Xenopus tropicalis: one gene and its partner. The protein of the gene in region 1 purifies or fractionates together with the protein of each later gene. This does not show direct contact. Links are inferred from orthologs where the notes say so. Each region holds a gene or a part of one and is shown in the gene's direction. Other genes may lie near its edges.

Region 1 (3,753 bases):
AGATCTGCAGGCCACAATGGCCACCAGCCAAGCACTGTACTTTCAAAACTGGGTACTGGGGTTTTGACAAAGTCAGGTAAATATACTGAAATAATAAATATGTACTAACTCCATGTTTTTTGGCAGACAACCCAATGGTTTCATGAATCCTGACCCTACCACCCCCCACTCCCCTCCTCCATGGCAAAATTGCCCTACAACGGCTGCTAGCTAGGATGCTGACAGTTTCTGAAGATATTTTGGTGCATTTTCAATGTTTTTCAAAGGTGAAGGTTTGTTTACATTAAGGTGCAAATTATAGAGAGCAGGTGACCAGGCTCTTACAGCGTGTGCCCTGATGAGAGGGGATACAAAATAGGACCATTAGAAACAAGGGTACCAGATCATTTGAAAATTCAAGGATACATCTAATAAATGCATGATGCAGGGTTGCATTGACTGCTGTGCAGCCCTTTTGGATGGATTTTCTAGAAATGCCCCAAAGTTTTTTAAAAATTTTACGTTTTTGCATTATCATAATGATCCACTTTTGAGATCTTAATGATTTAATTCAGAGAAAAGAGGAATAAGATTATACAAAATATCCAGAAATAGATCCACTTAATGATTGGGGTTTAGTTGACATGATTCCAACAATCGCTCAGTCTTGGTAACTCTGGCGTTAACAGCGGCACAGCAATAACATTCTCTCGTTTAGAAAAACGTGACTTGTTTAGCAATATAATATATATATAATAATGTATAGATACACATGAAGTTCACTTTACAGGTTATTAGTAACGCTCTCTGATATTACGGCCAGGAATGCTAACCAATTCACGCATGCGCAGAACCGCAGCCAAAGTGGAACGCTTCGCCCCCTAATGCGCATGCGTGAATCCATAAGAGGGCATGCGCGCGGTATCTTCCGGTTCCGGTTGTTACGGAGTTAGATTTGTTGATAGGAATAAGTATATTTTTTTGATTTCTGTATCGCTTTCTGAGAATGTCGTCTGATAAGAAGGCACCTGTTGATTTGGGTCTTCTGGAAGAAGACGATGAGTTCGAAGAATTTCCCGCCGAAGGTATATACGGACTGGAGAGGGACGTGCGAGCGGCCTGGCATGACTCAGGGTTCGCTCATGTATAGTAGCGTCAATATCATGTGTGCCATTCACTCTGTGCTTCTATACTGCGGTACCTACATTATAGCCTGGTGCCCGGCCTTTTGTACAGCCGCACCTACCGCTCTCGGGATGTGGAGTTAGCACTGTTTGTCAGGGTCTGTTTAGCCATAGGGTTGTGTGTTTGTGTGTGTGTGTCTCCTCGGCTGGGCTCTGTGTGTCCTCAGTCGCAAGGTTCTGTGTGTGTGTCCTGAGTCGCAGGCTTCTGTGTGTGTGTCCTCAGTCGCAGGCTTCTGTGTGTGTGTCCTCAGTCGCAGGCTTCTGTGTGTGTGTCCTGAGTCGCAGGCTTCTGTGTGTGTGTCCTGAGTCGCAGGCTTGGTTGTGTGTGTGTGTCCTGAGTCGCAGGGTTCTGTGTGTGTGTGTCCTGAGTCGCAGGGTTCTGTGTGTGTGTGTCCTGAGTCGCAGGGTTCTGTGTGTGTGTGTCCTGAGTCGCAGGGTTCTGTGTGTGTGTGTCCTGAGTCGCAGGGTTCTGTGTGTGTGTGTCCTGAGTCGCAGGGTTCTGTGTGTGTGTGTCCTGAGTCGCAGGGTTCTGTGTGTGTGTGTCCTGAGTCGCAGGGTTCTGTGTGTGTGTGTCCTGAGTCGCAGGGTTGTGTGTGTGTGTCCTGAGTCGCAGGGTTCTGTGTGTGTGTGTCCTGGGTCGCAGGGTTCTGTGTGTGTGTGTCCTGAGTCGCAGGGTTCTGTGTGTGTGTGTCCTGTGCTGCAGAGTTCTGCTCCAGGGTTCTGTGCATACTGTAATGTACAGGAGAAATCTGGGCATACACCGTTTTTTCTCATAGAGAAATGGTTAATGACATAGGCATACCAGGCCAAATGGCTGGGTAAGCAGGAGGGCCCACTGACACCTGGGAGGTTTCCTGGTACCCTGATGTGTCAGCTCAAAACTGAGGGAGTTGTTGGTTCATTTATGATTCTAAACCAGTGATCCCCAACCAGTGGCTTGTGCGCAACATGTTGCTCCCAACCCCTTTTGATGTTGCTTCCAGTGTCTTCAAAGTAGGTGATTCTTTTTATATTTCTGGCCTTGAAGACAAGCTTTGAAAGCACAGAGACAGTTTTACTCAAAGCAGAGCCTCCTGCTGCTAGCAGGCCATGTGGGGAAATTTTTTCATGCTTATGTGGTTTAAAAAGTGAAAAAGGTTGGGGGAACAGAACTTGTGCATATTGTTATATTGGTTGGTGGAGGTCTGTGTAGTTACACTTATCCTAATTCTAGGAGTAAAAGTAACAAATATAACTGATGTACTCTCATGCCCATAGTGTAGCACTCTGGATACTTGCACTGAAAGAGAGTGGCTTTTAACAAAACATCTTACATACACAGGATTTTTATAACTTTCAGTTTAAATTTAATGTTTCTTTTGCCTCGTAGACTGGACGGGATTAGATGAAGATGAAGATACACATGTCTGGGAGGATAACTGGGATGATGACAATGTAGAAGATGATTTTTCAAATCAGTTAAGGTAATGGCTAGTAATATATACAGCAATGTTAATGGAGAAGGGAAGGCTAATATAGAGTTAATCTCAAGCTGCAGGCATACCTTCAGTTCTCTCAATAGTGCCCTTAAGTCTCCCCATATTTCTCCCGTTCAGATGATCAGAAGCCAAACAGGAAGAAAAAATGCCGAGCTGTGTAAAGAAAGTTCCCATAATGCCTCACTCCTGCACCGACACCCAGACCAAGTGAACATGCTCAGTTAGTTAGACTATGAGTCAGCTTCCTGCTGATTGGCTCAGATCCACATTCCTAAGGGGGGAGTGTGTTTTTAGCATTCTTGAGGGAGGGGGAGCAGGAGAGAGCTGCGTGTCTCTAGCACATGAATTACAGACACAAGAAATCTTTTGACAGAAGTCAGTGCAGCGTTTCTGTGAGTGCTTATGGCTGTAGTTACATAGACCTTTCTGATAAAGCTTACTTAGTTTTTACCTTTCTTTCTCCTTTAAGCAAATAGGTTCTTATGGATATTCTTTGTATAATATTCAAAATGAGCTAGCTGGGTGGAGGGACTTGCTATCCAATTTCATTTCTAAAAGTCAGACTTGTCTGTTTGTTTGTGTATACACAGGAATAATTCCCAGGCTCCAGAGGGCTGGCACTGTAGGGGGCTGTTTGCTGAGAGCCTGTCTGCATGTCAATTTTGTGCCAGTTAGGGTGCAAGAGGCACATATTCATTGCCCCTTCTGCCCCATTAAGTTGGGGGAGATGCAGGTCCATGTGCTCAGAAATAGTACGTGGAGACCTGCAGCAAATTCATTTAAACTAGAAAAAAAACAATTCTGAATTTCTCCTTAAAGGAGCACTAAACCCTAAAAATGAATACGGCTAGAAATGCCATAGTTTATATTATAAATGACTGGACTGGATTAAAATTTCAGCATCTCTATAGTAGTAATGATATAGGTCATTACAGTTGTCACAGGTGCTCCCCATCTTGGATTCTGTTATCCCTACCCTGGAACTGTCTGACACAGTGCACATGCTCGGTGTGGTCGGAGCAGCTGTTGAGAAGCTGAGTTTAGGGGTCGTTGCAAATTATCAAGCAGAAAAGGAGGGTTGTCTGTCATATAAGCTGATGCCCTAGGGCCAA
Region 2 (3,753 bases), on another chromosome or scaffold:
TTTTCCTTAGGTAGTACAGTATGAGGGTATAGCACATTTGCATCTGATCCCGCCATTTCAACTATATAAAAGGAGTATTTTTAGAAAAAAATGGGGTGTGTTAATTGGGGCGTGGCCACAAAAGTGGGCATGGTCAAAAAAATTTGCCGCGCTGTGCGTGCCAAATCTTTTTGCCTCTCTTTTCAGTTTTCAAATGTTGGGAGGTATGAGCCTGGCCAAAAGAAAGTCACCATACCGAAGATTGAATGAATTCCGAAAAGGTCGCAGTCTTTCCAAAAAATACGACTTTTTCGTGGAAGTTATTGAAAACCATGAAAAAGTCGTACTATTTTAACAATATTATTGTGGTCATTCTGAAAAGTTCTAAAAATTCGAAGAAATATGAATTTTTCTGAAAAAAAAATTGTGGTTTAATAAATGGTTTAATGTGCTGGTGGGGGGGCTGTTTGGGCCTCTATGTACTTGAAATGAAAGGGTCTATTTTGAATCCCAGTCCAGTCCTGGTGCTGGGTATTATGGGGTCAGCACATTACCTAAATTCCAGTATTACATGAAATAAAACTAGCATCAAGGCATGCTGTGCCGGTTCTATCATATTACAAAAATAAAAATCTAGCACATACCTTTTTATAACATCCTTATTTTGCATCTACAGGTTTAGGAAGCAGATATATCAATTTCTGGTCATGTTTCAGTATTTTACTTTTCATACTTCTCTGTTTGAGTTTGAAATGAAGAGTGGGCGTGTCCTAACGGTCCCTGCCAGAAGTACAGTAGGAGGGGGAGAGCCAATCACAGCCCTGCACTCACACAAGCACAGACAGACTTCAGTTCCCTATCAGGTCAGCCTAGTTGCTGATTGGTTCCTATCCTACAGTGCAGGGTACTGAGGGCCCCAAGGCTCATCCAGAGAATTCAGCCAGCAAGAAGTGGAACAGATGGGCGGGGTTAGTGGGAGTTTTGTGGAATTTCTCAATAAATCAGTCTGAAACACTACTTTTTTAAGCACAATCCTTCTATATCTAGAGGAGTATAATTCCCTGGTACATTCTTCATTTTTATAGGATATGTCTCCTTTAAATTTGCATTCATCTGGAGTTAAATTGAAACACAAAACCAGTTTCTGCTAATACCTCTCTCTGGAGGTAATGACATGTTCTAATTTATGATATATTCTCTTTATTAGTTACCCTTATCAATAACATTGTTTTACCCAGCCCTTGTAACACAAGTCTGGGTGTTTGCGACCTTACGGTAAGTCGCTGCTCCTTCACTGCTGATTCATGCTGTGCACACAGTGTGTGAGTGACATGACACAATTTGCCTAGTAAGCTTAGAGGCCGGAACGAGTTCTACTAATAGAAAAAATCCTGAACGCAGAACGCGCAGTGACATCACCGCACGAAGTGACAGCTCATGGCTGTCATTGAGAGCCGCACGCCCCACCCACTCGGCCGCACCGTAGCCCCGCCCCCTGGCGCAGGCGCGCAAGTTCCTAGTCTCGCGCGTCTCCAGTCAGCGGAGTCACGATGGCGGCGGACAGGCCGTACTAATGAGACAGCGAAATAAGCGCTGGACACTGTACTTCATAGCCGTACATTTAGCGATCGGCGGACTGTAGAAGAGTAACGGGGAGGAGTCTTCTTTACTTCCAACACGGATAAAGCGTCTCCGAGTCGGATATACTGCGTGTCTAGAGAGGGGAGTGCGCCTTCTATCACACTGCAGCAGGCTGAACATCAGGCCGGAGCTGGGGACAGCATACGACAGCAGCCATGCAGATCACTCTGAAGACCCTTCAGCAGCAAACATTTAAGATAGACATCGACGGAGAGGAGACGGTAAAGTCTGCAGCCTCAGGGTTCCACTAAGCATTATGGGGCCTTGCACACAGTATTTGAATGTCGCACAACAGCTGCTCATAAAACGGGGGGGTGGGGTTGTTTTTACACTGGCCAAGAGGGCTTTATCAACGTGCAGGAGCGCTAGAGAAATCTTTGTCTATTTTGGGGTATCCTGCGCGAACTAGTAGTTGGGACGTGGGTAGGGGGCGCGCTAATGTGGGAGCTTTCTCCCTAGCTCGCCTTACAGGCAGATACCGGGCACGTGACCCTGGCTGGGGAAGGGGGGGCGCCACAGTCACGTGGTGCCCGGGGCAAAGCTGCTCTCTGTTGTTTATGGGCGCTGGATGAGTTTGCATTATCGATCTGAGGGATTGCATGTCCTGCGTTCCCAGCTTCCTTTGTGGCTAGAGTAGTCATGTAGTTGGCAGGGGGTCATAAAGCAGTTTATTAATGAATGTGGTGGGAGTAGTATTAGTGCACAACTGGCATTTTATGCAGTAAATAAAGTCAGTGTTGTGCATTTTGGATATTCATATTTTTGAATATCGGCCCTGATCGATTTATAGTGTCTTGTATATAATATACATGTGTGTGTGTGTGTGTATTTATACATTTCAAGGGGATGCACAATGCATATAACATACCACACAATAATGATGTATTCCCATAATGCTGGAAACATGTTGGTAAGTATGCAGACATTAAAGAAGCAAGACATTAAGCCCCTCTCAAATATGTAGCAGGGGTACAGTCATTTTTTTGAGACATGCCAGAAATGGTTGTAACAGAACAAACCTATTTTGCAGGCTCCCTTAAACTCACTACAGACTGTACACATTTGTTGAAATTATTATTTAGGATCCCCAGAGGGTCTCTTGTCACCACCTCTTCCTTTGGAATTAAAGTGACAATGTTTAAGGGATACTGTCAGCACATAATTACCCTCTTTCATGACAATACCATTTTTAACACAAGCTTAATATCATGCACAGTGCTTTCCAAAAACATTTGCCCATCTGCAACAGGTGTTGCATGTCATTGGCCGATAAGCGCTCTTTATTTTTTGGTATAGTGGAGTAGTGGTCCTCAAACTGGGCTGGCCCTCCTTGGGGATCCCAGAGTAATGAATGTGAGGTCCTGCCTGAAGACCAGGTAATGTGGTGAGCATTAGTTTTTACTTTAATAAAGAATACAAAAGTCCAATTAAATGGTATTCGAGTAAGATTTTTGATAAGCATCCTAACTTTTGTGCCTCAAAGGCATACTTGAACCAAAGAAAGTATGAAACTAACTGCATTAGAGGTTTAGATTTTATATATTTATAGTTTATAAGTACAGTGCATCTGTGTACATTGCCTGAAACAAGCCTCCTTATCTGTTACAGTCTCTCTGTTAAATGTAATGTCATATGAATGGTTTTCTCTGTTAATCTATTGATGTACTTGCCAGGAACCAACCAGCCAACAAATTATATATGTATGTGTATATATATATATATATATATATATATATCCAAAAAAGACCAGCAACACCGAGTTATATTCCAAAAACAATCAATTGTGTATTAAAAACACATGAACAGCCAACGTTACGTTTCGGTCCCCATCGGGACCTTTCTCAAGGCCCCGATGGGGACCGAAACGTAACGTTGGCTGTTCATGTGTTTTTAATACACAATTGATTGTTTTTGGAATATAACAACTCGGTGTTGCTGGTCTTTTTTGGATATTTAAATCATTTACCTTGCACCCGAGCTAAGAGCTGAAGCAGAGTGCCACCCTGGGTTCGCTATATATATGTATATATATATATGTATATAAATTTTATTAAAATAAGAAAAAAACAAGAAATATATTCTGCACATGTCTCATTCATTCATAAACAGTTGTGTAGTCATGGGGGCAGCCAG

The links. Proteins that work in one complex are often made in the same cells at the same time.
Region 2: the proteins of sem1 (region 1) and rad23b purify together in Homo sapiens (co-immunoprecipitation; 3 studies listed by BioGRID and IntAct, with this or other methods). This does not show direct contact. The link is inferred for Xenopus tropicalis from reciprocal best matches to the Homo sapiens genes SEM1 and RAD23B.

Annotation. Positions count from the first base shown.
Region 1 is NC_030682.2:33,752,579-33,756,331, reverse strand, and holds the start of sem1 (26S proteasome complex subunit SEM1), read left to right. Parts: upstream 1-982; 5' UTR 983-985; coding exon 986-1,064; intron 1,065-2,532; coding exon 2,533-2,626; intron 2,627-3,753. UniProt on the Homo sapiens protein: Component of the 26S proteasome, a multiprotein complex involved in the ATP-dependent degradation of ubiquitinated proteins.
Region 2 is NC_030677.2:120,684,412-120,688,164, forward strand, and holds the start of rad23b (UV excision repair protein RAD23 homolog B), read left to right. Parts: upstream 1-1,502; 5' UTR 1,503-1,775; coding exon 1,776-1,841; intron 1,842-3,753. UniProt on the Homo sapiens protein: Multiubiquitin chain receptor involved in modulation of proteasomal degradation. Binds to polyubiquitin chains.